Regions from separate parts of the Mus musculus genome. Here all the other regions are reported to be linked to region 1. The links are microRNA targets in miRTarBase. Many come from high-throughput screens and were not tested one by one. Region 1 holds a microRNA gene; each other region holds the end of a gene's coding sequence. Distances are between the middles of the regions.

Region 1 (7,608 bases):
ATGAGAGGATCAACATCCCCCCCCCCCGAGTTGTTAAAAAAAAATGTTGTTTGAAAAAGAAGACAAAAAACAAACATCAAACAAAGAACAGCAGCAGCAGCAGCAACAACAATACCCACGACAAACAAACCCAAACAGATGGTGTTCTCTGCGACTTTTTATCCTAGGGAGTTAATAACCCTGCATCCTCCCTTGCTGCTTCCCATGGCACGTAGATGCTTTCCTTTTTGTGGGGTGTGTGTTTATAATTTCTGGGGCCCTGATTGTCCCTCTGGAACATTCATCAATAACATGGTCTCCTGAGTCCCCCTCTCCTGTTCTTCTGTAGAGCATGGCAGCCCGAGAGAGGGGTTCAGGGGCGGAGGGTCATGTGACCAGTCTGAGTCCCACGTATGCGGTGCTGTATGACCTTGGGAATGCTCCTGGACTTGGGCCTAATTTCTTCATCTTGAAGGCACAGGAGTAGGCTGAGAATAATCTTTCTGATTCCTCCCGTTTTTAAAATTTCTGTGCTTATCTTTTTAAAAGGCAAGCACACAGACTAAACAACACAGGGAAGAGTCTCTGGGGACAGACACACCCTCACACAGGAGCACTGGGGTTGGCATTTGTGAGTATGGTTATTAGATTTCATATGGTGGCTGCTAAAATTTTGTCAGAAAATCTGAGGCAACGTGCACAGGTCAACACTGATCCATGAAAATCCTGTAAGAATATTTCTAATCTATATTTTGCCAGAGATATTCTCTTAGCCATTTCTAACAAACACTCTCTCTGAACAGATCTCTTTGGAAATGCATTAGATAACGCAGTTTCCTCCCTTCAATTCCATAACTTCCTTGCTGTCTGAACGGAAAAAGCCAGTTTGTGTTATTAATGACAAGTCATTTTGCAGAGTGCCCAGGTTAATAGAAGAGATAACTGGCAAAATATAAATGTGTAATATGAACATGCCAATGATAAAACCGAGGTCAGATGCAGAATGCAGAGTGTGAAGACGGGAAGAAGTTCCCAGTGGGTACAGAATTCCAGCAAAGTGACCAGGACAGCCGTGGCTGTCAGCTCATCAGCTGCTCTACAATGCACTGGTTTCCTATCCCTAATTTTCAGATCTCTAGCACTCTTGTAAATGAAGGGTAGATGAGGTATTCTACTTGTGATCCCAGAACACAGGAGGCAGAGACAGGAGATCCCCAGAGAAAGCTGGCTAGCTAGACTAGCTGAAACATTAAGTTGTGGGTTCAAGTGAAAGACCCTTCCTCAATTAATAATGTGGAGAGCTATTGATGAAGGCACTAGGTATCACACATGGTTGCCCACACATGGTTGGTTGCACACGTGTACATATACCCATTCGTATATGCCCCCCACATGAACACACAGGCATGAATACTCTACATATACACATCAGACTCAATGGTAACTCTTATTTTAGTGGTTAGTCTAGTGTGGTGGTTTGAATGAGAATGGCCCCTACAGATGCATATGTTTGAACACGGTTCCCAGTTGGTGGAACTCTTTGGGAAGGATTTGGAGGTATGGCCTTGTCTGAGGAGATATGTTGCTGGAGGTAGACTTGAAGTTTCAAAAGAGTTCTGGCCATTCATTCCTGGTGTGCTTTCTGCCTCCTGCTTGTGCACCAAGATGTGAGTTACCAGCTGTTGCTGTTCCAGTGCCATGCCTGCCTGCCTGCCTGTCTGCTGCTGTGCATCTATCGTGATGGTGATGGACTCCTATCCCTCTGAAACTGTAAGCCCCAAATAAATCTCTCCTTCTATACACTGCCTTGGTCACGGTGTTTTAGTCCAGCAATCAAAAAGTAACTGATACACTGAGGATGCTCCTATTACAACAGTGTTAGTCAGTGTTCCATCACTGTAACAAAATGCCTGTGACCAAGCTTATTTTGACTCACAGTTCTTAAGGTTCCAGTTCAATTGGTACTACTACTGCTTTGGGCAAGGCAGCATATTATGGAAGGAGCTGCTCTTCTCATGCCCAAGAAGACAAAGGGACAGAGGTCTCACAGTCCCCTTCAAGAGCTTGCTTCCAATGACCAAATGCCTACTGTGTGGATTGTCTCCTAAAAGTTTTACCACCTCTCAATAGTTCCAATGTGATGAACAAGGAGGACCTTGGGGGCACATTAAGATCTAAACTTCATTTAAGGTCTAAGATGGTAGTGGTACATGCTTATAATTCTAGCACGTAGAGAGGCAGGGGCATGGCTACAAGTGTGAGGCCAGGGTAGGATACATGAGGTTCTAAGTCAGCTAGGGTCACATAGTGAGATCCTCGTTCAAACAGCAGCAATGAAAAACTAAGTTAATTGACTGAACCGCTTTTCAGAAGACAACAAGGTTCCTGCCCTAATTTCTCCTACCAGCTAAAGTGAGGGAGAGAGAGTGGAGATTTGACAAGTAAACCCAGCATAGTAGACCCCAATCAGAGCTCTGTTCTGTCTAGCTGTGCAGATTTGTTAAGACGCTCCCCTTATCCTCTGACCTGTAAAATGAACCGTCATAGACCAACCTCTTTATACTCTCGTAAGGGTTCACCAAGTTAGCCACGGTTGTTGTTTCTTGAGTTCATTGATTTTTAGTTATGCTCTCTCTTCTGATTAGATGACTATGAAGTCACATCTTGGCCAGGAATGTGTGTGTGTGTGTATAATAGTCTCCAAGTTCGGCCTCAGAATTAAGCATTTCCTTGGGGACTGCTCAAGGTGAGCATCAGAAATGAACACTAGACCATTCTCTGTGTGTCCTGAGTATTAAGACAAAGGGAAGGCTCATAAATGGTGGCTGAGGCTAACAGGTAGGCTCCCTACCTCCAAAAGCGTGGAATCTCCTTGATGAATTTGAAGCAGAGCCTAGGACCAGCAGCCACCTTCTGCTAACTGCTAACTGCACAGAAACAGAGCTGATTGCTAGTGTCTTGTCTACCATAAAGAACTTTAGTAAGTTGGTCTTATTTTATTAGTATTAAACACATTTAATTCCATACATCCCAGCTAAGAAAAAGCTCATCTTCAATGGTTGCTAAAAAAACTAAACAGAGATTTGGAGTTAAGACAAACTGCCTTGAGGAGCTGTGAGTGTGGCTGTTTACATGTGACTTCGGGCATCTTCCTCCATCAGGTGGGTCTCTCAGCTGACTGTTGTACTTAGCAGTCCGGCTAGTCTACCTACCCAGCTTTCCCTCTAAACCTCAGCTTGGGCATCTACACACAGAGGGGAGAATGCCAGGTTTTTTTCCTTATTAAGGTTGTAGTAAGAGTCGCTACAAGCATGCAACTTACTGTCCGGCTCATCGTGAATTCTCAGTCATGATGCTACTTGTAACTAACTTTCTAAAGTGTGGTTTGAAACAGTCTAATCACAAACCTCAAGCATTAAAAAAAAAAAATCCTCAGTACAGATGTTACCTGGGAAAGGATTTTTATCTTTTATTTCTTAGTTCGTCCTCTCGGTTAGCATTCGGCTAAATAAGATTCTGAATACTCACCTCCTAGACCGGGCTTTCACAGAAAACCCTCTCCTGGGTCTCAACTACAGCACTGTCTGGAAAAAAAAAAAATAAAAAAATAAAGCCGTACTGCTCACGGTTGATTGCTTTGAGAAATAGCACATTGGCAGGATTTCTTCCCTTCCCCCACCAGCCAGGCTTGGGGGTAGATAGAGCTTCACTATGGAATCCGACTGGGCTTCAGATACCAACAGCCTGGAATGTTTCAGGGGAAGACCTTGAATGGTCTCCAAGCAGGGAATGGAGGCTGAGAGAGCCAGATTTTCAGTCTTGAAGGACCCTTGATTAGTTCCCCAAAACAGAACAATCAGTTTCCAGTGACCTTGCCTGGTATATTTTGACAAAACATTTGCCGATTAACGGAATCTCATTCTCTTCCCGACTAGGTGGCTTGGATCTACTCTTCTGTGTCTGGAAAGATCACTGCACGAGATGTCTGGGACAGGAGGAAGCAGCCCCACTGCTTTCTATCACTAAGGAAGGGGAGATCTAGTGTGTTTGCATAACCACAGTCCTTAACATCTTTCTCTTTGTCTCAACACATTTTCTTTGAGCAGGAGCTGTTGAGGTAGCTCCACCCATTTTCCAGTTTCCAAGATATTTGTGACAAAACAAGAAGGAATCTTTATTAAAATGTGAAAGTGGACTGTCCAAATGGCTCAGTAGGTAAAGATACTTGCCATGTAAATCTCTCGACTTGGAGTTACGTCTCCACAACCCACTTAGGTGGAAGGAGAGAACTGACTTCTACAAAGCTGTCCTCTGACATTCAGTTGTGGACTGACACACACACACACACACACACACACACACACACACACACACACACACAGACACACACACACACACACACACACAGACACACACACAAACACACCACTGTCTCTTACTTAGGATTAGTAGATGTCTGTGTTTTCAAGTGAGTTGGGGAGGAGGAGGTAGGTTACCCAGGGTCATGGTATTATAGAAGTCAGGTTTGGGGGTGGAGGTTGGGGGGGGGTGCCAATAGGCAGGCGCAGTAGACCTTCACTGCCACCTTGTGGTCACCTGGGACCCCAGAGGGTCATTTTTCTGGACTGTCTTCCTCACTCTCTTAGGCCGCCAGCCTGAAACCTCTCCCACTGTATCTGGTGTTATTTCAATGGATCTTTTGTTATAGTTTTTTCTTACCAGTGCACTTTAACTTTAGGGGGAATTGCGGAAAGCCAGCACATTTCTATATTCTGAAAAAAAAATATTTGCGGGGAAGAAGAGGTCAGGTTCCATGAGGGCTCTTTAAGACGAAACGGCTCAAAGCCTTGCAAGGTTCCTGTTTCTTCAGGCTGCAGCCAGTCTCAGCTGCAGCAGAGATGCTCAGGGCAGAAGGCAGGCCCTGGGGTGGCACCTGTCTTTGTTATCACCTGGTCAATTGGGGAAGTCAGGACAGAGGAGGATCCGTTCATTATCTCATTTATCACCCTCGTCTGTGGTCCAAATTAGTTCTCACATCAGATTCTGATAGTATCAGATTCAATATCATCAGCTGGAATATGAACGGTATTTTTCAGCACACACACAAAAAAATGACTTTCAAGGCATGTATTATGGGCAGGATTATAATAAATTAAATGCCTAAACTGGCAGAGTGCAAACAATTTTGACTCAGATCTAAATGTTTGCACTGGCTGTTTAAACATTTAATTTGTTCCAATGGAGGTAGCAGCACAGACTAAGCATGCTAATTAAACTCGGGCTTTGGCAACGTGAGTCATCTCGTGGACACAAAGCGCGACAAACCAGGACGGAGAAAGCCATTACGTGTGGTTTCCTCGTTCTCCAAATGAACACTGTACATCCTTCAACCCTGCAGACATTAGTAATTGTTAATGAATTGTTCCATCTTTCTGAAGTGACTTTTAGATGATGCTGTGCTACTGTTACTCTGGGAAACAACTTTGCTAATTAAGTTGCAGGGAAGTTCATCAACTACAGATAATTGGTTAAAGTGATTACGTGGATAATCTGTTTCATGTTCCATTAAAAATGGAAAATGTACAGAGGAGGAGGGATACGAATGACAAGGCATCTTGCCCAAAATAATTGCCTCCACTGCCCTCAAATCACTACCACCACCATCATCAACTACATCATCACACCTTTTGGGGCAGGGGGAATGCTCAGGCATGATTCTCTTGACTGGTCTTGGTTCTGCTACGGATTGATAGAGCATGCTGGCTAAGTCTTCTCTAAGCTTCCGGTTCCTTTGTAAAATGAGGGCATTCTTGTGCTAAATTAGGGCTAAGTGATCTATTTCCCAAATGCAGTGATTTAAATAGGAAAGCAGTTCGACTCTCTTTTAGAAGTATCTCAGGTATTTGGGGCTGGCAGGGGAGCACTCCATTCTCTCACTACAAAGCCTTTGGTAGCTCCCCAATGCCTGCAGAGCCACGTTCAAAGCTGCTCACCATCTGACCCCAGTCTACACTTCTAACTTCATCCTCCTTAGCCTGTCTGCTTGAATCTGTCTTTAATGTGCTGCTCCGCCCACCTGGAATGCCCATCTCTCCTTCACCTCCGCACTTTATTCTGTCTTTATGATCTGCACTCCTTCAAATGCTCCTTCGTAAATCTGTGTAATTATTCTCTTGCCTCTGGCTGACCCCTGCTATAGCATTCATTGTCTTTTCCTTCTAATTCTGATATTTTTGGCTCCATGTCCAATTTCATTTCTTATTCATACAAACAGCACTCATGTTTCTGGAGACAGAAAACTGTATGTTATTTATGTTATTATAAATAATATTAATTATATTATTATGTAGAAAACAGTATATTATTTATCTCTTGGGATTTTTTTTTAAAGACTTCATGTATCTCAGGCTAACCCAGAACTCTATGTAGGTGAGGATGACCCAGAGCTGCCTTTTCCACATCTCGAGTCCTGGAGTTACAGGTCTAATTTATGACGTGCTAGGGAGCAAAGTTGGGGCAAAATGTTCTTCTCAACTGAACTACATTCCCAGTCTTTACCTCCTTTATCTTTATTCCCCATCCCTCTCTTATTCCTTCCTTTGATATCTAGCATTGTTCTGTGTGCAAAAATAACAGCAATAATAATTAAAATTAAATTAAATTAAATTTAAAAAGAATGTTGAACTAAATGCAACAAAATGTTGTTCCAGATTAAAAAAAAACAACCCAGTCACCAAATAGCAACCGTTTGTTAACTCAAGGGGCCAATTAGGCAATGGGTTATTCATTGGAAAATTCCAGATGTGAATCACAACCGTTCCAATTAGATTTACATCCTGTGTTAAACTAAGAACAGCAAACAGAAATAACTCCTTGGGCCCCACATCCATGTGGAATAGTGTGCCACTCAGTTCATTAGGAAGACAGCTTTCTGGAGATGGCTGTTTTTTTTTTTTTTTTTTTTTTTTTTAATTTTGTTCACGGGATGGAGAGATGGCTCAGTGGTTATGTGCTCTGGCTGCTCCTCTAGAGAATCTAGGTTCCATTTCCAGTACCCTTAAAGCAGCTAACAACTGTCTGTTACAGGGGATCTGACACCTTCATACAGACATGCATGCGAGTTAAACAGCAAAGCACATAAAAACCAAAACCAAACCAAACCAAACCAAACCAAACCAAACCAAACCACAAAACCCCTTTTGTTCATGAACCATGCAGAAAAAATAGGGTGACCTTAGATATATGCACAAGGACGTTGTATGTGGTCTAGCTAAAGTCTATCTCTATTGGTGACATTTCTGCTTCTGTGCTTGCCCTTGGCATGTTAGATTTAAGAGTGGGTTGTGTGGCAGGGGTTCATTTAAGAGGGTAATCTTAGATTATGGGGTCACGTAGAGGTGGCTCAGAGGTTGTGGCCCTCCTATGGCTTTACTGTGCCATTGGGAAAACTTAGCACCTCTCCTCAAACCTCATTCTTTTGCTTTGCACATTTATACTGTTCTCCTCTTACAGGGCTGTTTGTGTGGATGCTGGCAGCTCATTAGTGTGGAGCTTTGAAAAGATCATGGGACAGCCTGTTGGGTACTGCCGGAGGCCCACCTCCAGGGTTCTGAGAGTGACTATTAAAGC
Region 2 (7,608 bases), not on the chromosome of region 1:
CACCTGGGCATTGTCCCACGAGTAAGTTTTGATCTGAGTGGACCTGCAGAGACAGCCAGAGGCTGAAGAGGAAGCCGGAGGACCTGGCCCCATCCCCGAGTCTCTGCCTGTGTCTAGCCCTTGCAGGAGAGACCACTGCCCCTTGGTAACTGAGTCCAGCCTATCTCACTCAGACCTCTCCATCTTCCCAAAGCTGGGAAGATGGGCCGGTGTCCACTACACCAAATGTCAAGACCTGGGGGAGTTAATTTTTGGTGCTGTGGCTGGAATCCAGGTTCTCATACATTTGAGGTAAGCGCTTGGCCAGAGAATCACTTGACCTCAGACAAGTGAGCTAACGTGGTTCTCCTGCCTGGGCTACCTGGGTAGAGATCAGTGGGAGGTTCCTTGTCTACTCACTGGTTACCTTGTGTGCTTCCACAACCTCAAGCCTTGGGAACAGCCACATGGCTTGTCCCACCAGAGGCCTACTCTTGGTTGTCTTTTGGCCATGCTGGGGACGAACCCAAGGCTTTGTCCTGGCCAAGCAGGCACCCTACCAACTAAGCTTAGCTAAGCTTAGCTAAGTCACCTCCAATCCCAGCCTTGTGTTTTCTGAGTAGGTGGGCTGCTCACCAGTCCTGCACTGCATTAAATGACTCCTCATTGGTGATGTCATACATTAGGATGAAGCCCATGGCGCCTCGGTAATAGGCTGTGGTGATGGTGCGGTACCGCTCTTGCCCTGCTGTGTCCTGGGGAAAAGAGGGATAGGTCAGAAGGGACCTCGCAGCAGCCCCCGAGAGAAAAACGTGCTCCAAGGTTGTCCAGCAACCACTTTGAGGCCCGGGGACAGTGGGTCAGGAAAAGCAGACAGTGACCCAAATGGGTCACTGCAAGGCCACTTAGTCACTCAACAAACATGTACTGGGTGCTGCCTGAATGCCCTGTGCCACACTATGCTAGAAGATGAGTGGGGATGCTCGGGACTTAGGAAAACGGGAAGCTCATACTGGGATGGAGATGCAGGCCTTAAATCCCAGCGCCAGCCGATGGCTAGCCTCAGCTTCCTTTTGTGGGGGTTGGCAGGAAGACATCTCCCCTCCAGCCCTACACACCCAGATCTGCAGCTTGATCCTCTTGTCGTTGCGGTAGATGGTTTTGACCTTGAAGTCTATGCCAACGGTGCTGACAAAGGCTGGAGTGAAGGAGTCATCTGCGTAGCGGAAGAGGAACGAGGTTTTGCCCACGCTGCTGTTCCCAATGATCAGGATCTTGAACATATAGTCGAAGTTCTGGTCTGAGGACTCCTTCTGCCCATAGCGAGAGTCTGTGGCGGAAGCCATCTGCGGGAGGCGTGGCACAGAGGGCCTGAGGGGAGCATCAGGACCACGCACAGGGTGGGCACGGCACAGGGGTAGGTGAGGATACCCCCCAATGTCACATGCTCAACCCCCCCAACCAACATAAGGCAGAGCTGTGACCTTGACAGCACCAAGGTTTTAAGCAGGCTGTGAACCTCAGATTCCCCTGTACCCTGAGGGAAGACTGAGCCTCCTCTGCCTTCCCATCAGTCTCTCACAGAGACCCACACCGGAACATGAATACAGGAGGATCCCCAGTTCTCGCTCATCCTTATTTTTCTCCTGCAAGAACTGGGGCCCTGAGATAGCCACATCACGTGACGAAGACAGGATGAACGTAGGCTCACACACACAAAATCGCGAGCACAAGAGCGCGCACGCATACACACACACACACACACACAAGCACAATGAAGCATCTAGGGCAGGCAGACCCAAACACCTGCCCTGCATGCAAGAGTGGTGCTAACAGGCGAAACAAGCAGACATGTATGGTGTGTGCAAGCCCATGTGTGAGCACAGCTCCCTGCACCAATGCACGACTGTACCTGGCCATCCGGGAGGACACACCACACACGCGCATGGCTCCACACGCGTGTGAGCACATACTTGAACTAAGATCCACGCGCACCGCGCACGCGGACCATGCACGCACAACGTATCACAAGTGTGCACGCTGCGCGTCCTGCGGTCACTCGAGCCTCTCCATGCCCAGCGGGCGCGCACACGCGTGTTCACCCCACGAGCACGAGCACGCACAAGCCTCCCGCAAGGCCTGGCTTTCCCCTCCCCCTCTGTCGCAGAGCCCGGGCCCCAGGTGCCAGGTTAAGGGCGAGGGGTGCGGGATGCGGGACCAAGAATGCCAAATGCGAGACCCATAGCCACTACACCCGAGTTGCGCTCCCCTTGATCCCCCAGCTGTCAGTGAAACGCGGGCTCCTCAGTGTGTGGACCTGGGTTGCGCTCACCCTTACCCTCTCTAAGCTGAGACAACGCTGGCGACGGCGACCGTGGCGACTGCGCTGGCGACCGGGCCCCAGAAGAGGATGCGGGGGATGCAGGCGGCGGCGGGGGCTGCAGGCGGCAGCGGAGGAGGCTCAGGCCCCTGCAGTCCTAGCTGACGTCCTGCAAAGCCAGGGGCGGGGCTTTCTATGCAAACGAAGCTGTGACGTTAGGGGAGGGACTGCATCGACAGCCGCGGGACCACACTGGCCTGCGCCGGCAGAAGAGGGGCAGGGCCTGGTAAGCCACTGGAAGACGGGGCTCTAGGGAGGCATGAAGTTTCCATTGGCTGATGCTCTCGAGCGACGGACCGAATATCAAATCAGCGATTCCTACGTCTTTAGAGGCCCAATGGTGACTGCTAGGTGTTTGAAGGGCGGAGAGGCTGAGGCCAGGACCTAGCTCTGGTTGGAAACTTGTGGTTAGAAGTCCTTGCTTTTGAGACGTGAAGCACTCAGGAGTTTAGGTTTTGTTTTGAGAAATGGTCTCAAGTAACAAGCTGGTCTCGAACTTGCCAAGTAGCAGAGGCTGATCTTGAACTCTTGATCCTCCCGCCTGCACCTCACAAGTGTTGGATTGGCAGGCATACATCTTGATTACATTTTAGGGCTCAAAAAACTCATTAAAGACCACACAGAATTTTTAGTCCCAGCACTCAGAAGGGAGATGGAGGCAGATCTCTGTGAGTTCGAGGCCAGCCTGGTCTACAACGTGAGTTCCAGGACAGCAGGACTATGAAGAGAAACTTTGTCTCAAAAAACAAAATAAACAAGCAAATAAATAAATAATTTTTAAAAAAAGAAAGAAAGAAAGAACTGTTTTTTGATGGGCTGAGGATAATTCTCAGTTTGGTGGGGAACCTGCATCACAAAGACCTGGGTTGATCCAGGCTCCTGTTCTCTGCACTGGGAGGAGAAGGGAAGGAGGGGAGAAGCAGAAGTCCAAGGTGATCCTCAGTTACATAGTGTCTTAAAGTCAGCTTGATCCACATAAAACCCTGCCTCAAAGAAATAAAGGAGAAAATCCGGTCTGTGCAAAGAGAAAAGGGTCTGATGAGTCCCCAGAGAACCCCTTGCTTCCTTGCGCACTTAGGGCTCAGAAGTATCCTGACCCATAAGTCTTCCAAAATTGTAATGAAAGACCAAGGAAGCAGAGAAGATTCAAGAGTAGCTGCCCAACGCCCTTTACGATATGGACACTGGGACCCGGGTAACCCTGTGTCTCAGGAAGGTGGGCGCAGAAATGCAGACTTCCAAGCCGCTATGATACACACGACTCATTCCTGCAAATCTGCCTGTCAAGGTGGGAATCTGGGGTCTATCCTATTCTTCCTCTCCGTGCGGCCGGGCAGGGTCCCCATCGCTTCCATTCCCACAGGAAGCAGAACTGGGAACGTGTCCTGGCCCTGTTTATAGACCTCCCCGCCAGCTGCGGAGGCGCCAATGGACCAGAATAACTTGTCGCCTGGATGCTCGTCCACCCCCGCGAGGAGCCTGGAGCCCCGCCCAATCCGGGGCCGCTGGAGGAAGCTTATTTCCTGCTTCCCCTGCACTTCATGCAGAGACACAAAGTGACCATCAGTTTGTTACTTAGCGAGCTCCGGGCCCACGCGGAGGCTACTGTGGGGACCGGGACCGGGTTTGAGGACAGAAAGGGTGCAGGAGGAGCCTGGGACACTGGAGCCTGATTTGGATTTATTCCGAAGGGATAAGGTTAGGGGAGGAACCCATTTGCTTCCACCACCAAGCAAGGGCTCCAGGAGAACTGTGCTGGTAGCTCAGTAGGTGGCAAGGCTTCATCGGAACACTTGGAAAGCTGAGGCAGGAGGGTTGTTGAGTTCTTTATCATCCTGGATCACAAAGTGAGACCCTGTTTCATACTATAAACGTGTGCGGGGAAACTGCTGGCATGGTAACAGAAACCTTTAATTACACAGCACTTGGGAATTTCTGAGTTTGAGGCTCCCCAGAGAGGACAGCACAGCTGTCTGGAAGAATGAAGCAAGTGTGTTAAAGGCCTGGGCAAACAAGAGCACAGGCAGAAGAAGGGACAGAGGGAAGCTGTTCCTCAAATCTTTCTAAGTTATATTCATTTATTTGTGTTGGAAAGAGGGGAGTGTCACAGGACAACCTAGGAAGTCAGTTCTTTCCTTCCAGCACAAGTCCTAGGAATGGAACTCACGTCATCAGGTTTGTGTGACTTCCAAATTCTCCCACAGTGAACACACATGACTTTGTTTAACAAGAAATCTCTAAGGGTCGCCTCTTAAGACATCTGGAAGGAAGAAGGAAATGTTCCAGTGTGTGACCCCAGATGGCCTTTTGTGCCTCCTGGGGATGAATAGCCCGAGTCATAATATTTACAGAGGAAGTCGCCTGCCACTCTGGCTCCTTGGAGGCCTTGGTCAGGTGCAGAGTTACAGGCTCAGAGGGAAAAAGGAAAAGGGAAAGAGAGGGACCCCCCCCCCCCCATGGCACATGCCTGTTACCCCAGCCAAGCACTCGAATGGTGGAGGCAAGAAAATAACGTTAGTGTCATCCTCTGCGGCAAACAAGTCTGACATTAGAACTTGAGACCATGAGACCTTGTCTCAAAACGGCCAAAGAACTGTTTGGAAAACAAACAGGGAATCAGTCATACCGCCAGGGGGCACCAGTGCCCACTCTTAGTATATAAGCTCTGAGGGACTAGTTATGACTCAGTTTCCACACAAGAGAATGAGTAGGTGTCGCGGCTATTCCTGGTTGTCAACTTGACTATATCTGGAATGAACTACAATCCAGAATTGGAAGGCTCACCAGTGACCCTAATCTGGAGGCTTGGAGATAGAAGTTTCTGATCTGGATCTTGGTATGGAGATCTTAAGACATAGTGGCTATGGCTTCCAGAAGATTAAGACAGGGAGATCTCATGGGCTGGAGAGATGGCTCAGTGGTTAAGAGTACCGCTGCTCTTCCGAAGGTCCTGAGTTCAAATCCCAACAACCACATGGTGGCTCACAACCATCCGTAATGAGATCTGACACCCTCTTCTGGTGCATCTGAAGACAGCTGCAGTGTACTTACATATAATAAATAAATAAATCTTTAAAAAAAAAACAAAAACAGGGAAATCTCTGAGTTCAAGGTCATCTGTGATTAAAGGTGTGGTGGCACACACCTTTAATCTGGGCTACACCTTCTGCTGGAGACCTACATAAGGACATTGGAAGAAGGAAGGCTTTCTCTCCTTCACCTGCTTGCCGTGTAGGACTGAGCAACTGCTAGATCCTTGGACTTCCATTCACAGCTGCTGCTGACCACTGTTGGGAGTTGAACTGCAGACTCTAAGTCATCAATAAATTCCTTTACTATATAGAGAATACCCATAAATTCTGTGACTCTAGAGAACCCTGACTAGGGAACGCCTATGGTGAAGAGAGGTGTGCCGGCACTCTGGTTTGAGAAGCCCAATCTTGTCAGAGACAGGGATCCTCATTGACGGGAAGACTGAGGCCTGCAGTGCTCTTCTATTTATTCTATTTTTGCAGTGATAGAAATGGAACTCAGGACTTCCCAAAAGCTAAAGCTCTGTTACCAGAGCCACACCCCAAGCCCCTCATTGGGCAATTCTAGGCAGAAGCTCCACCCCTTAGCCACACTCCAGCTACTTTTTTTTTTTTAAAGATTTATTTATTTATTATATGTGAGTAACCATTGCTTTCTTCAGACACAAAAGAAGAGGGCATCAGATCCCATTTCAGGCCACACAGTGGTGGTGGCACATGTCTTTAATCCCAGCACTTGGGAGGCAGAGGCAGGTGGATTTCTGAGTTCGAGGCCAGCCTGGTCTGCAGAGTGAGTTCCAGGACAGCCAGGGCTACACAGAGAAACCCTGTATCGAAAACAAACAAACAAAACAAAACAAAACAAAAAACAGATCCCATTACAGATGATTGTGAGCCACCACGTGGTTGCTGGGATTTGAACTCAGGACCTCTGGAAGAACAGTCAGTGCTCCTAACCACTGAGCCATCTTTCCAGCCCACTTCCAGCTCTTTTTATTTCTAGTCAGGCTGCCCAGCCTGGACCAGCTGTCTCCACACACACACAGCCAAGTCTGGGGGATGCCTATGGTGAAGAGAGGTGCACCAGCACACTGGTTTGAGAAGCCCAATCTTGTCGGAGACGGGGATCCTCATTGATGGGAGGACTGAGGCCTGCAGTGGTCTTCTAGGAGGGTCACCGGCCTCCTGATATCTAAGAAGAGTCTTGTGCAGCCAATGGTGTCAGGAGACACCAGACCTCAGTGGGAAGTGTTCCCCGCCCGCATTTTACGAAAGGGATTCCCCCGAGGGACTCAGTAAAGGCTTGCAGCTGGACTGGTGAAGGCAACATTGGTTCCATCTTTAGTGCCAAAAAAGAAACCAACTAAACCATAACACAGAGTCCGACTGCATGTGCTGAAGCTGACGTGCAGACTGCAGCTGAGTCTAAGTCTGTCTTCTGAGATGCAGGAGTCGGCGCTTCCCAGGGCTGGTGCCATTCCAGTCTGTGGGCAGAGCTGGTCCCAGCCTCCCTCAGGCTTGGCTCTGTGTAAACCTTGGCTGTCCTCTTTGAGTGGTGGAACGTCATCAGTGCCCATAGGTGCCCATGGCCTGACCAGGACTCCACGGTCCACACTAAGCTAGCCCAACTCTTGTTGGACAAAGCAGACCCTGGGCTCTGGGCTGGCCTTAGAGGACAGGAGTTAAGTGCTGGGTAACTCTGAGGACTCCCTGTTCAGTGCTGTGCACTGCCCTTCATCCTCCTCTTCCTCCTCTTCCTCTGCTTCCTCCAGGGTCAGCTCAAACTTGAACCTGTCCGAGCCCATGGTGTGTGGAGGGCTGCAGGGAATCCTACTCTGATACCACTCTCTGTTGTCTTCCAAGGTGTCCAGAAGCTCCTGAGCATCGGGGTGCACTAGGTCAGCCCATGTCTCCCACAATGGCTGAGCGATGTAGTCAATGAATCCCACCTTAGGGTGATCACAGAAGGGGCAAGTGAGACCCAGTGAAACCTAGAATTAGTCCCATCTCACAGTTGGCCACCTGGTGTTCTCAGCCTGGAATTCTCATTTGCCAACTCCTATTCATCCTTCAAAATCCTCTTGAAAAAAGCCATCCTGGCACAACAGGAGGAGACTGAGGCAGGGTGATCTCAAGCCAGTGAGTTCTAGGCCAGCCAGGGTGACAAAATGAGATGTCTTCAAAACAACAAATCAAAACATCTGCCCTAGCTGGCTG
Region 3 (7,608 bases), 42 Mb from region 1:
AATAAAGCACAGGCTTGTGTGATGCTCAGAGCTTTTGTTCAGCCTTGTTGCACACAAGGTCTGCCTGGTGGCTTCCTGTCACTAGAGCAGTAACACTGTTTTCTGTTTCAGTGATGTTTCAGGAATGGCCATGGGGCTTCATGCTCTTGAGCTCAGACATTGTCAAAAAAATATGTGCATATAACTGTGTGTGTGTGTGTGTATGTATGCATGTACACATATAAGTTATAGATAGATAGACAGATAGACAGACAGATAGATAGATAGATAGATAGATAGATAGATAGATAGATAGACAGACAGACAGATAGATAGGAGGGGCTGCTGTATATATATGCACCATGCACCTGCAGGTGCCCATGGAAGCCAGAAAAGCATTGGGTCCCCGGAGCTGGAGTTGTAGGGTTTGTAGGTGTGTCAGGACTACAACCAAGGACTTCTGGAAGATGCTCAGACCTGTGGAGCAATCCCTCCCACCCGTGTTCAGCACACCCATCTTTCCTGCCTGTGTTCAGCACACTCTTTGCCTTGCGAGGCCAACACTTGTTCCTTGCTGGCTCCCCATCTTTCTGGCACCAGCCTGAATTTCAGAAAGTTCCTCTCATCCTCCCAAAAGTCTTGTTTCCACATCCCATGTTAGCAGGAAAGTGTTAGCTGCTTCTTGAGCATTTGAGAAAATCTAGCCAATGTCTCTGTTGGGGGCCTACATCTCCTAGTTCCACTTCAAAGTATCTTCCACCTAGAAGTAGCAAGAAGATATGCATGAGACATCATGTTAACTATGTTAACCATGACCTGTGTTTGTTTGTTTTCTTGCTCCACCTCTGATTCCTTCAGTGGGCTGAGTACATTCTGTTTGCCTCATTGCTTCTGGTTGTCTGCGTGATATTCGCCATCATGGCTCGATTCTACACCTACATCAACCCAGCAGAGATTGAAGCACAGTTTGATGAGGATGAGAAGAAAAAGGGCATAGGAAAGGAAAACCCGTATTCTTCATTGGAACCAGTCTCACAGACAAATATGTGAAGGGCAGAAGGCAAGTGGAGAAAGATCCAAGTACAACATGAGCCCTGACCTCTGTCCAAGGGACAGGACACTCCACCACAGAGCCCTGATGGAGAAGACCTCAGAAGTGTGAGCCAGAATAATAACAAAGCAGTTTTCTAACCAACAGCTGTGAACCTGAAACTCTAGGGGAGCCTTTTTTATTTAAAAAAATTTTTTTTTTAATTTTTTAAATTTTTTTTATTTTTTATTTTTTTTGCTTGTTTGTTTGTTTCGAGACAGGGTTTCTCTGTGTAGCCCTGGTTGTCCTGGAACTCACTCTGTAGACCAGACTGGCCTCAAACTCAGAAATCCACCTGCCCCTGCCCCTGCCCCTGCCCCTGCCCCTGCCCCTGCCTCTGCCTCTGCCTCCCAAGTGCTGGGATTTAGAGGCATGCACCACCATGCCCAGCTATAATTTTTTTTTTTTAAGACAGGGATTCTCTGTATAAGCCTGACTGCCCTGGAACTTGCTCTATAGACCAGGCTGGCCTTGAACTCACAGAGATCTGCCTGCCTCTTCCTCCTAAGTACTGGGATTTCAGGCATGCACCACAACTGCCCAGCTAAAATATTATTTATAATATGCACTTTCTGGTTTGTTTTTGTTTTTCTTTTAAACTGGGCTGTATCTTACATTTCTGCCACAGAAATGAACTTAGCTCAGATTAACTTAATTTTGAAAAGGCAATAGTATTGTTTTTTCTAACAGTTTTATGAAAACAATATTGAATTTACAGAGGGCTTTTTTAATAGTGTGTAATGAGTATCAACTGATTCAAGCTAATTGCTTTACCTTGGGGTTTTTTTGTTTGTTTGTTTGTTTGTTTGTTTGTTTGTTTTTCTAGTCTCCTTTGCCTTACCTCTTTTTAAATTATGTGTAATTCAAAAGACTAGTCATGAGTTGTGAAGTTTCACTGGTCTGAAATAAATTCTAGTTCTTAAGAATATGTGTTTGTGTGTCTTTGGGTATGGTAAGAAACTTTCCTATGCTGTCTGGTTATATTACTGAAACATGCTCATTGGTTACATTATTGATACATGCTCATTGGTTATATTATTGATACATGCTCATTAAGATATTTGAGAAACCAGCAAAGCATTAACAAAAGCAATAACCACAAAGGGTAAAGTCAGGGACACAAAACATCAGTTTATTTCTTCTTGGTCCTGTTTTTTCTGGGGGCGGGGTGGGTATCTTTTAGTACTGACATCTTTCTGTGTGCACATACTTTTACATCCCATTGTGGTTTTCTTGGATTGATGACTATTTGTCTACTTTATCCTTCTAAAGTACTATGAACTAATTCATCCGACAGACATTTGGCACTTTTTTGTTTTGTTTTGTTTTGTTGCTTGTTTTGTTTCAAGACGGGATCTCAGCCTATAGCCCTAACTGTCTGAGTTCACTGTGTAGATCAGGCTGGCCTCCACCTCACAACCACCCACCGGCCTCTGCCTCCCTTTACAGCTGTGTGCACTGTGCTCAGATTACTTGTTTATTTTAAACTTTTTTTTCTCTCATTCTTCTCTCAAATATTACATCCTGACCACAGTTTCCCCTCCCTCCCTCCCTCCACTCCTCCAGTTCCTCCCCTCCCCTCCCCTTTCCCCCAGATCCACCTTTTTTCTTAGAGAGAGAGAGAGAGAGAGAGAGCAGCAAGCAGGCTTCCCAGGGATATCCGCTGAACATGGCCTAACAAGTTACAATAACACTAGGCACACACCCTTGTATCAAGGACAAGACAGCCCAATAGAAGAAAAAGGGTCCCAAGTACAGGCAAAAGAGTCAGAGACACCCCCACTCCCACTGTTCAGAGTCCCACAAGGACACCAAGCTACACAACCATAAGGTATATGCAGAGGACATAGCACTGACCCATGCAGGCTCTGTGATGGTCACTTCAGTCTCTTTGAGCCCCTATGAGCCCTGCTTAGTTGAGTCTGTGGGCCATTCTTGTGGTGCCCTTAATCTCCTCTACTGTGGGGTTATCCTGGCTCTGCCTAGTCACTTTTTGTTTTGTGTGTGTGTTTGCCATGTTTGTATGAGTACCCTCAGAGGCCAAGTGAGGATGTCAGATGCCCCAGAGCTGGAGTTACAGACAATTATAACCCACCGACTAACATAGGTACTAGGAACCGAATTCGGATCCTCTAAACGAGCCGACACTCCTTGTACCTGCTGAGCCATCTCTCTCGCCCAGTTTATTTGGAGAGAGGGTCTCATGTATCCCAGGCTGGCTTTAAGTTTACTATATAGCTGAAGCTCTTGATCATCTGATCCTCTGGATTATGGATATGTGCCACTATGGCCAGACTTCTTTGGTTCTGGGAATTGAACTCAGGGCTTTGTGTGTTGTGACAAGCACTCTACTGATTGGTTTTCATCGTGGAATGGAGCTATCATTAAATAATCCCAGATGTCAGGCCCACGATAGTCGTGTCTGGTGTTCCCATACAAACAGGAGTTATTAGACTTCACACGGCTCTGAAGATAGACGCTGGCTCTGGATGAGAACAGTCTGTGCTTGACCTGGAAGCGGCTTTGTGCACCCAGCCCATCGTTGCACATAAAAACCGCACAGACCCAAAATCTGAGGGAGAACTAATGAGATTATTACACTTAGCTCAGCAACTTTCCAGCCCTGTAGGGCGGTCCTCAGAGCCCCTTAAGTCAGATCCACGAGCTCTTTTCTCCACATGCTTTTCATTTCTCTCCACAAACTCTGACCCAATCAACCCTGGACTCCTCACCGTGGAGCACAGCACACTCTTCATTCCCAGGTCAAAGGGAAGACCCTGTCCAGCCTTCACCCCAGCCCTGCCTCCCTTTCACACCTCTCCCTGTAAGAGTTTCGTGGATACCTCTCCCGGACACAGTGGGGTTCCATTGTGTCTCTGAGCTCCCAACGTGCCAGAAAATTCCCAGACTTCCATTTCCCACTTTTAAAAATGCTTGAGTAAATGTTCAAGTTTGACTGCTGCTGGCTATTTTAACCATAGGCAGTATGCATTTTGCAAAACAATTATATACTCTTACCTTTTTGTTACAACAAAGGCTGAACATAGACTGAACACAGGGCATGTGCAGACAGCAGGCTTAGCAGTCTTCTGGTGCAGTCCAACAGCCGTCCTATAGTGTGGGTTAGGATTATTCCACTCACAGAAGACAAAGAAAATGCAAGTGGCCTACCCAACGCCGTCCCCACAGCCTGGCTCTCCATGGAGCAGAGAATGCTAGCCTCACATCTGCCACCTCTCAACACCATACTCAATCTATTGTAAGGAGGGCACCAATCATAATCTTTATGATAATGGTGAGTCAGCCTTCAAGACCTTCACTTCTGACATAAGAAAACTGAGAAAGAGGACGGGAGAGAGGCTTTGCCATTCAGATCATTTGCTGTTCTTGCAAGGACCCAGGTTTGATTCCCAGAACCCACAGGTAGATCACAAGCATCTAAACTCCAGTTCCAAGGAATCTGACGCCCCCTTCTGGCCTCTGAAAATTGGTGCACATACACACATGCAGGGGCAAAACACAAAAATAAATAAATAAATCTAAAAAAAAAAAAACCTTTGTGGTGAGTCTTTCCCCAGGATGCTGCATCTACTGATTACCACAACGTGCCTGATACCGCGAGATTATAGCATCTCCTGTCACGTGACACAGCCAATCCAACGGCTGAGGCCATGTGAAAGGAATAAGGCAGTGTGGCTACTGGGAGCCTGCTAGACCAGTGTTTCCAGCACCCTGAGAAGGACACCTACAGCTGTCTCGTGTGGGGATGAGAGACTGGAACCCTGACTCAAAGGGCAAACCAAGGAAACAGAGCTACCTTTACCATCTCAGAGGGAGGCCTGGGCCCCCGTGAGGCAGTGCTACCAGAAGACACTTTAACTTCCTCCCCTGGAGCCTGATTGGAGACACCGCCATTGCCAAGAGAGGTCATGGAGAGACACTCTGACCTCAGAGGGCAGCAGCTGGGACAGAGGCCAGTGAGGCCATGGGAGAGCAGTCAGTGACAGGGCCGGAGAACTGTGAGACCCCAGGACAGACTACAGGACAGCAGGAAGCCTGGTTTATTTAGTTTTTAAATTGTGGTAAAATACACAAGAAATAAAACTAAACATTTTAAGGGCACAGAATCCTGGCACAAGTCACACCAACACTATTATCCAACCATCTCCTCCATGAGTCTCCTCAAGACCTTTCCCAGCAGAACTGAAACCCGTGTTCACTGAACACCCGCCCCGACTCCCCTCTTCCGGGCAGTAAGAAACAAAACGGCGATTCCTTCTCACTTCTACTTCCGCTCACCTGCACCCTGGGACTGGGACCTTTAGCAGGCTTTCTAGAGTAGCCTGGGTGTTCGGGCTCAGCAGTGATGAAAGGCAGCTGCTAACGGGGAGACCTAGACCTCTAGCGTCCCAGCTTATCAGCAAGGCCACTGACTGCTGCAAGCAGGAACGAGGCTCTCTGGCGTCCTGCAGGTACTGGCAATTTCAGAGCGCTATGAGTTTTCATTTGATTTATTGTCTGTTTTGGTCTAACGAGACTTCTTGACTCAGTCGCTCTGCTTAAAGGCCCAAATGGAACAGTAGCTGAATGTGGTGGGCGGCCTTTCTGGTTCCCTGCAAAACAAAGAGTCAGTCCCACACTTCCTAGGGCTGAGTAGCCTGAGAGCAAGAAAGGGGTCGCTAAATCTGGCAAAAGCAGACCTGTGTGCTGGGGAACCAGCCCATCCGTAGCCCTGAGCCAAGGGTTCTTACTCCTTGTTCCCAAAACTTAGGTTGCCTTCTGGTCTCCAGGCTCACAGAAAGGCTCCGAACCTGGGCTGACATACTACACAGTGACCAGCAGAGGGCGCCAACAGTCTCTTCCCCAAATTGTACCTGTGAGCAGAAAGTAACTTCCTTTGTTGTTTTGCTTTGTTTTTGTTGTTGTTTTGGTTTGGTTTTCGTGGGGGTGTTTGTTTGTTTGTTTAAGTCGGGGGGGGGGTCTCACTATATAGACTTGGCTGGCCTGGACTTCACTAAATACACCAGTCTGCTTTCTGAGGTTAAAAGTGTGAGCTACCACACCTGACAGAAGTCACTCCCAATTTGAGCAGCCGCTGCTATTCAGCCTCAAGTTTAGCTCCAATATGACTGGCCAAAACTTTGATAAGACCACTGACATTCAGTGGCTCAAACTTCAGTAAGCTACCAAAAGTTTTACCTGGGTTGTTTTACAGTTTATAAACCTAGAGAGAATTTATGGTAGGTCCCATTTGACTTCTAAAAACCACAACCCACAGGTATTCGATAATTATTCACAAAGAATCCCAGCGAGCATCCAGGAGAAAGTGCAGTGTGAGCCAGTCACAGAGTGAGCAATGTCCGTGTGTCTGGGAGTCCATTGTCCTCAAAGGGCTCGCAAAAAAGAGGAAACAAAGCAATAAGTGGGTGCCCTGGGTAAGAAAGGCAAGTGGGCATCAGCGTTTGGAGGCCATCGACCTCCGAGGAAAGCTGGGACCCCATGACACAGAGCACGGGGAAGCTTACCCCAGGGAGGTCCTGGAGGCACCCCAAGTAAGGTAGAGAATTCTGACCAAAGTGCGACCAATTGAGGATCAGCTGTCTGTGGATTTGAAGCACGGGGGAGACTGTGGAGGCGCTGTAGGCTATGGGAAACACACACACACAGGACAAGGCTGGGCAGTTACCCTCTGTAGGTAAACACTGCAAATCTGACCCACCATCCCTTGTCAGCTCTGTGCACCTGCAGACATTGCCATCGCATGTGAAACAGAGCATGGGACCCCTCAGAGCAGTTGTGAGGTGGCCAGTTGAGCTCATTCTTTGTAAAAGTATTTTTTAGTCCCCTGATGTGATTGTTATCTCAGGGGCTTACTACTTCTGTCTGCTAACCGAAGCCTAGTTAGTCCTGGAAGCTTCTAGCCTCTGTACAAGCTAATCTAGGCCTAGATGTTCTCAGCCTCTGAATAAACTCACTCTTTCTAGTCCTTCCTGAACTCTGGCTGGCTGGTTCAACTCAGCTGTCCTGGCTCCAACTCTTCTCCAAGCTGACTGATTCAATCTGGCTCCTCTCAGTTTCTGACTGAATTGCTCTGCTTGGCCTCATCCTAACTCTGGCAATCTGTTCTAAGCTTCTGGCTCCTTCTCACTCTCTGACTCCTTCTGTCTTCACCTGTGTCTAGCTTGTTCTCTCTCTACAACCAGTCTCTGTAAAAGTCTCCCAGGAAAACTGCCTCTGAGTTCCATGAACTGACTGAACGTAGCTGACTAGAACTCAGACATATGCATGCCTTTGTCTCCTCTGAGTGCTGGGATTAAAGGCATGTGACTAAGACCTGGACCTAAGTTTTTCTTTACCTGAAACTTGCTCTGGACAGGCTGGTCTTGAACTTAGAGATCTGCTTGCCTCTGTCTTCTGGGATTAAAGGCATGTCTGTATTCCAGCCAAATCACATAGACCTAGCAGGTCTTTGTATGTGATCTCTTATCAGAGCAGCCACATTCTAAACTAAAATTCCTCTACAATTCTTGGTTCTGTTG
Region 4 (7,608 bases), not on the chromosome of region 1:
GCCACAGGAGTGTGTCCTGTCTTGAAAGGAGGGTGATTATGTGTCACCTCCAAGGCTAGAGTTGACTTGGTAGAAACCAAGGTATGTCTTCTTTGTTCACAGCTCTTCTAATTCCAGTGTAGGTCTAAAGAGTCTGTCTGTGCATTCTGGTCTAAAAACCAGACCTTGTAGTTTCTACTGGATATTGGGTCTCATTTCCCTGTCATGACAAAAACATGCCTGGTTTCATATTGTGCTACCTAGAAAATGGATGTCCTGCCTACCTGCTTTGCTGAAGGTTAGAAGGGAGCCAGTGAAAATCTTTGAAGACGTATCATCTGTCTGTGGTGTGTGTGTGTGATCCTTATTGCTATTTCCCCTCCCTTCAGTCCTACCAGTCCCTGTCCCCAATCTACCTGCCCTTTTCCCTAGATTCATGTCACTCTTTCTCTGTTTCTCTCAAAAAGAAAAAAAAAATGCTCCCAGGGATATCCACCAAACATGTCCTAATAAGTTACAATTAGACTAGGTTCAAATGCTCATATCACGAATACACAAGCAACCCAGTAGGAGGAAAAGGGTCCCAAGAGTATGTGAAAGAGTCAGACACTCACCTATTCCCACCTTTGGGAGTTCTCCAAGGACACCAAGCTATATAAGGTATTGAATTTGCTTTATGTGCAGTAAGAGATTATGGGGAGTTTCCAGTCTGAGCCTCATTCAACATCTGACATTATTATTATTAGTATTTTGAATCCAGAAGATAGATGAGTCATTGCCAAGCTTGTCTAAGGCTCTGGATTAGACCCCATATATCAGAAGCAAAACTAGCCAAAACATTCATTTAAACAAAACCTCTTGCTTAATTAACAAAGCCTTTCCTTTTTACTAAAGACATTATACACATTGAGAAGTTTAGATGGTCTCATCTAGTGCTACACAGAAAAGAGGCCTACATAGTAGGCCTTGAATGACACATAGAAAGATGCAAGTTTCAAGTATAGACCTTAAACCTAAACTCCACAAGTAACCAGACCTACATTGAAGATTCTACATGATTGATTCACTGGCTGAAATGTCCATGATGGTGGAGAATGAAAATGTTGCAGGTTGAAACCAAATTACTTTGGTGTATCTTTACCCCTTTGATAGCTAGCTACTCATTGCCTGGATATCTGACTCACATATTTGTGGCTATCAGGTAAATTCTTTTAGAGTATATTAACAGACTGCTACTCTGCACTCAGCTAAAAGTTAATAAGAATGCCATCAGACCATATCTGAAATGCACAGCTCATGTGTCCTCACTTGTCTGTAGTTTGCCAGCCAATTCTTTCCACCAATATATTTGAAGAAGGCTTGATCCATTGCTTTCTGTTGTTTTCTTACTATATAAACATTGTGAATCTGTGACTATATTAGAACAAGGTACTTGTAGTAACATAAATCCCTGTTCCAAGTCAGTGGTCACTCATATCGGGTTCCAGGATAAACTCTATCCTATTTTCTCAGAGATGATAGCTGTAGGTTTGCTTACTCAAGTTACGCACTGACAGCATGGCAGGGCCACAATGATTTTCCCACTATTCCTGAATTTGGCACCAAATTATTTTAAACATTGTACATACCAACAGCATAAAATTTGACTACAAAACAAACCTCTCAAATAGAGATTCTTTTAATTTGAAATTTTATTTAAACAATCTCGCCCTACTCTAAAAATATAGTAGGGAAGACAAAAGTTTGGATACATTAAAAGAGAACTTGAGGCTTGTAATAATCTCCCACCACCCAACTCACAAATAGTTGCTATTTGGGGGCATGCTCATTTTCCAACTTCTGTCTGGAGAATAGAATGCTGAAAGGATTTTCCCCCCTGATGTTTCTAGAAAACTAGCATGGACTAAATAAACTCCTCTGCTATAAAGAGAGATTAATGATATTTTTTCCTTCTTGGAAAAATTGACAACAATTTCTCAGAAAGAACATTGAATTCTTCTCTAAGTTAAAGAAAGTCCTTCAGCTGGGCAACAGAGCTCACATCAGGCTGGATGTATGAAATACATTCAACTGGGAAAATAGGAAGGAGGGAGGGAAGGAAAATTAAGAGATGACAGGAGGATTGTAGGGATCAAGGGAGAAAAGGAAGAAGGAAAGAAGGGAAGAAGGGATGGAAGCAGGTAGGCAGGAAGAGAGGGAAGAGGAAAGGAAGAATGGAAGAATGGAGCAAGGCAGGGAGGATAGAATACAGAAGGTAGAAAGTACTTCTCTGATAGCACTTAGTGCTTTGGAGAATATTTATTTGTTTTTCATCTAAGTCAAATGAAATAGAAATTCCATTCAATAATACAGACTTTGTGTAGTATTGGGTGGAGACTCTACATGATAGTCAAGGAGACACAGTCACTGGTCCTTTGTAGCCCATTACCAGGTAAGAATGAGTCTCAGAGCTTATCATCAGTGGAAAGAAGCAATATGGCACATGCTTACAGACTGTAAAAGAGACAACATAGAGACAAAGACACTCCAGTATCTAGTCAGAGCTAAACCATATTATGTATAATGAAGGTGGCTATATAAAGTTGTTCTTCCAAGACAGTAAGATAACCAAACAGCAATTAAAACAATGCTACAACAAGCAAAAGAGCATTCATAAGGAATATAGCAATTGTATCTGACCCAAATCAGCAATTATTGGCCTGGAAAACAAGCAGTATGTTTTGATCAAAACCAGTGACTGGTTTTGATCACAAGAGTGTGACGTTTACCTGGGATATAAAGTATCTATATAACATTAGGTACTCCGTATGCTTGAGGCTAAATATGTCATCTTTAAGGAAAAAACTGCTGTTTCTCTCATGCTTCAGACTAACAGCCAGAATGATTTGTCATATTGTACAAATTTTACAATTATTCATAATTACTATGAAGATTTACCAAACCCTACACCCCACAACAATTGTTACATACTCCGTAAAATGTCCTATTGATGTAGTCAATTGTGGAAAGGAAGACAATTAACATAAAGTTACCATATATTATGTGCATTGAAATTCACAAAGCAAGTGTAGACTTTTCATCCCCTGCTCTGGATTTATTAGGACTTATTTCTGTTTTCCTTCCTGTTCATCAATGTTGGAAACTTCTCCCTGCAATATTCACATTTAATACAAAAGGAGAGAGATTTCCAAAGTCTTGATACCTTCCTAAGTGTGGTGTTCTTCCTGTGCCTGGTTCTGTAGCGAGGCAGTTTGTGTTATGTTGAGGGAGAGGCTACTTGTTTTAGATGATACCATGAGACCTGGAGAAGCAGGAAACCAGTTATACAGAAGGGCCTCTTTGGAACAATAATGGGAGGCTAGGTTCTTGGGTGTGCTATGTATTTTGGGGATATATTTTGTTTGCCAAGGTCATGTCTGGACATCTCAAGGTGAGCTCCTACTTTTATAGAGTCCTACAGATACCTGAGTTTATGGTGGAATCATCATGGCTTTCTTCAGAAGAATTCTTTTCAAAGGAGAGTCTTGAATTTTAACCCCACAGGCCCAACAAAAGACTGGTGATGCTTATGTAGCAGGGTTCAGATTTTCAAAACACTTTTGTTTCTGTAGATTTGTGTTCTGTTGGCATGAACTCTGAAAGGGCTTAGTGATGCACCTTATACTTCTTGGAGATCTACATGCAAGAATGGTCAGAGGAAAGAGGGACAGAGACAGTGGTACATCAGTTATACCCTGGGAACCTGTGCTCGCTCTCTCTCTCTCCCTCTCTCTCTCTTTCTCTCTCACTCCCAGTCTGTCTGTCTCTCTGGCTGCCTGTCTATGTCTGTTCCCAGTTTTCTTACCAGAAATGGGTGTACAGGAGGATGTATAATACATGACAATATGTATATATAAATACATATTTATATATAATTTACTGCTCTCCCTAGAGTTGTATCCAAGCCCTTGAAATTTTATCATGTTTATTTAAATCAGTATATTTTAGGTTACTTTTTGATTAATGTCTGATTTTTAATTCAATGGTCTTTATTTGCATTTACTGTTCAAGTTGTAAAAAAAATATTCTTTGAATTCTACTTAGCTCACAACAAGATCATTTCCTCTTTAGCTGCCTGTCAGAGAGTTAAGGTTAAAATGTACTCATAGATGTCTGATTTCCTTTTTTTTTTTAACTTTAATTTGTTTTTATTTTATGTTATTTGTTAAGATAAAACTCTCCCCTTACCTGTAATTTGCTAAGTGGAAGGGCCATTTGAAAACCTCTCCTGCCAGGCGTGGTGGCACACACCTTTAGTCCCAACACTTGGGAGGCAGAGGCAGGTGAATTTCTGAGTTCGAGGCCAGCCTGGTCTACAGAGTGAATTCCAGGACAGCTAGGACTATACAGAGAAACCCTGTCTCAAAAAAACAAAAACAAAACAACAACAAAAAAAACTTCTCCATAGATTTTTCTGCTCTCTTGTAATATTGCAGACATATCCTTTCCTTAGGAACTAGTGATGTGGTTTTGGTTTTAATTCCCCAATTTTCCCTCCCCCCTTTGTGTTCATAAACTACAGTATTTTAAAAGTTTTGAATACTCCCTTTTGCCAACTACTATTGCTGGAGAACAATGGCACACAGTGGATTCTACAGTCAATAACGTGTGGACTTTCAGAGGATGTCAACATTCTCTTTATTCATACTAGTTATATGTTTTAGAAATTCTGGACTTTAAAATTTCCAAAATTTTAAAATTTCAAAATTGTGGAATATTTATGTAGTCACTAATTTTAGACAGAAAAAGAAATCCATTAGAAGTTCTCAACACTTTATATTCTTAATTATATAGCATACTGAGATAGCTGACATAATAGTTAAATTTAAGTCTGAATACGTATTCATAATTGTTCTTATTACAATCCACTTGCGTTACTCTTACCGAACTGAAAAGCCTCATAAAAATCATATTTTAGAACGGAAGCTGCTAACTCTTTAAAATACAGAGAAGAAAAATCTCAAGAAATAAACATTCTGAAAAATATAAATTTTGATTATATTCATAAGACAAAGATAATGATTCTCTAAAGATGTCAGTAGTAAAACGAATCCAAGAAGTAAATATAAAATAGGAAGATTTCATTTCTGAGAAAGAATGCTTTGATAATTTCTTTGCGGGTAAAGCACACTTTCAGAGTGTCTTGTCTCAGGGTAGGACTGGAAAGGTACTTTCTTCTATTTCAAAGCTCAAATGCAGTTAACATCTTCGTTGTGTTGTGAAGTAATGAATTAACCAGAAGCATGCTATTTCCATATTAAATTATTATATAAAATTATTTTTTAATTGAGTCTTCTGAATAGTGAACTAGATGTATCTACTACATTTTGTTTTCAAGTCATTGCAGGAAAATTATGGAAACAGCATTGAGAGATGCAATGCCTTCTTGTACCACAAGAGGGAAGCACAGACCTTTTTAACAGAATTCTACTTTCATGGTTTGAAACTATTTAAAAATATCTTTCTGAGAGGCTATCTTCCATCCTTCCACACTGAAGTGAAATTTAAAAGATATGTCTTGTTTATAAAACAGAAATATTCTTAATATAGTTTAGTGAGTGTTTCATGAAGAGAACAAGCCTCAGAATGGATGGGTTGCAGATTTCTTGTACAGTTTATAGCAACCACAACACAGCTACATACAACTTATGGCTTAAAAAAAAAAATCAACAACTGACCAGAAAGCTCACACGATAATTCTACAATATCTGATATTCTGTATATTTTACCTTATGGCTGCAAAGAGGAAAAGAAAAAAGAAAAAACTCCAGAAAGAGTTTTACATTTTTCTTGATTATGAAAACCTATAACTTTTTCTTTAATATTATAATTATAATACATATCCCAATGGCAAAATAATTTCCCTGAAAAGCAAGCTCAAAATTACAGCCCGATCATATGTTGATAAATACGTGAAGCCTTTTAAAGCAATACACTCGTTTAAGTACTAGTACTGTGAGAGAGATGTTTGTACAGTCAGATGAATATGCAGAATAACTTAAAACACCTTCCCAGCCTCTCAGTACTACAGAAAGTTCTTTGAAGTAATGGAAAGAGACTGCATGCTTTCAGTCTTTTTTTTTTCCCCCCCTTTAAAAAAATGTTTCCATCCTAGGTTCCTCAGCCGCCGGCAGAGGGCGCCCTCAGGAGAGCAGCGTGTGCCTGGGCAGGCGGAAGTGCTCAGCTTTAGAGCGAAGCCTCTTTTCCTGGGGGTTGGCATACTTCCACTTGGAGGGAGACATTTTAAGCTTTTTCCTCTTCTTATCTGTACACCACACCTTTTCGCAGTATTCTTCCACTCTCTGGAAGTTGCTGTAGCCAATCAGCTGCAAGAATTCCTTGTACCACGGTTTTGTCCCCTGAGACATACCGCTTAAGGGAGGGCAGGGCATCTTGTGATGTCTTTCCTCTTCATGGTCCTTATGAAACATGCCCTCCACTTTATGCTCTTCGACCACCTCCAAGGTGATTTTACGCACAGTATGGACAAAATTGTGTTCTACTGTCTGGCAAAAATAGGTCCCTGCATCTGACTTGCGTACTCTGAGGAAGAGCAAGCCCAAGTCCATCTTGACAACTCTGTCATCCGTCTTCACCTGAAAAACCAAAATCAAAGGAACAAATAAGTAAATGGCAATGAGTATCGTATAGTCCAGAAAATACCAACCTGGGTTTCTTCCCGTTAAATACTCTTTCTCTTTCGTGATCACACCATACAATTATGGTGGTCCACAAACGTGCCAAGTAATTATTTAAATTGGAAACTACATTTATCGATGATAGTGAGGTCATTTCCCACCAATACATTAAGAAGTTACTAGCAGGAGCAAGAGAGACCTTTCTCCCTAATGAATCTCATTAAAGGGGAGAAAAATAATCCACACAGCACAAAGAAGCATAGATGCTTTCATTATATCGATGATATGTCTGTCCCAGTCAAGTATGCCAAAACAGCATCCCTGAGTAGTACAGTGCAGAAAAAGTATTGGAAACATTTGAATTAAATGCTGGGATATGAAATTATTATATGACATACAGTGCAATAAGAAGAAAGTTACAAACAGACACACACACACACAAATTATAGTTATCGTCCCATATTATCTTACGGAGACAGTAATTTCAATGAAAAAAAGCATCATACTAAAGAATAATTTTAAGAGTATGCAGACGTTTAAATCTCTTATTTGTGAAAATTTTCAGCAATATTAGAATGTCTTATTTCAAAGATCGAAAGACCATATATGAATTAAGGCTACAAGAATACAAATGCATGCATTCCTCTATTCTTCTAAATATTTAATAAAGTCTTTAAGATGTGTCATAGTTCAAGCAGACATTATACTTTTGAGAGCATGTGACGGGGACAGCCAGAATACTTAAAAAAAAAAACAAAAAACAAAAAAAACCAAATATTCCCTTCCCTAACTCTATCTGCTCTCATTCCTGGTACTACTACCTTGTTTCCTCTTCAAACTTATGTATGTATGTATGTATGTATGTATGTATGTATGTATGTATGTATGTATTGTTGTGTGTGTGCACAAGCAGCACATGTGCCATGGTATGCATGTAACAGTGAGAGGTCAA

The links. Region 1 holds the annotated microRNA mmu-miR-759 (GCAGAGUGCAAACAAUUUUGAC, at 5,148-5,169, shown strand). A microRNA usually pairs through its seed, bases 2 to 8, with sites in the 3' UTR of a target mRNA and lowers its output. Matches are read on the target gene's strand: a 7mer-m8 pairs with bases 2 to 8, a 7mer-A1 pairs with bases 2 to 7 and ends in A, and an 8mer does both.
Region 2: miRTarBase lists Pde4c as a target of mmu-miR-759. Seed matches in the 3' UTR shown: 7mer-m8 at 6,178-6,184.
Region 3: the mRNA of Slc15a1 is a reported target of mmu-miR-759. Seed matches in the 3' UTR shown: 7mer-m8 at 1,325-1,331.
Region 4: miRTarBase lists Sema3e as a target of mmu-miR-759. Seed matches in the 3' UTR shown: 8mer at 5,152-5,159 and 7mer-m8 at 4,335-4,341.

What each region holds. Positions count from the first base shown.
Region 1 is chr14:79,733,313-79,740,920 of GRCm38, forward strand. It overlaps Mir759 (microRNA 759), which reads left to right and starts at 5,119; the gene lies at 5,119-5,216.
Region 2 is chr8:70,749,573-70,757,180 of GRCm38, reverse strand. It overlaps Pde4c (phosphodiesterase 4C, cAMP specific), which reads right to left. Exons shown (of 17, transcript NM_001310465.1): 17 at 5,995-7,340. The coding sequence ends at 7,074. Rab3a (RAB3A, member RAS oncogene family) reads right to left here and starts at 2,478. Exons shown (of 5, transcript NM_009001.7): 1 at 2,318-2,478; 2 at 1,098-1,325; 3 at 616-734; 4 at 1-43. The coding sequence starts at 1,325.
Region 3 is chr14:121,454,003-121,461,610 of GRCm38, reverse strand. Slc15a1 (solute carrier family 15 (oligopeptide transporter), member 1) reads left to right here. Exons shown (of 23, transcript NM_053079.2): 23 at 838-1,990. The coding sequence ends at 1,029. Gm33299 (a long non-coding RNA gene) reads left to right here and starts at 4,720. Exons shown (of 3, transcript XR_383790.2): 1 at 4,720-5,541; 2 at 5,841-5,945.
Region 4 is chr5:14,251,344-14,258,951 of GRCm38, reverse strand. Sema3e (sema domain, immunoglobulin domain (Ig), short basic domain, secreted, (semaphorin) 3E) reads right to left here. Exons shown (of 17, transcript NM_011348.2): 17 at 2,263-6,614. The coding sequence ends at 6,162. Among named protein-coding and RNA genes, the nearest start is that of Sema3e, 230 kb to the right of the region's middle.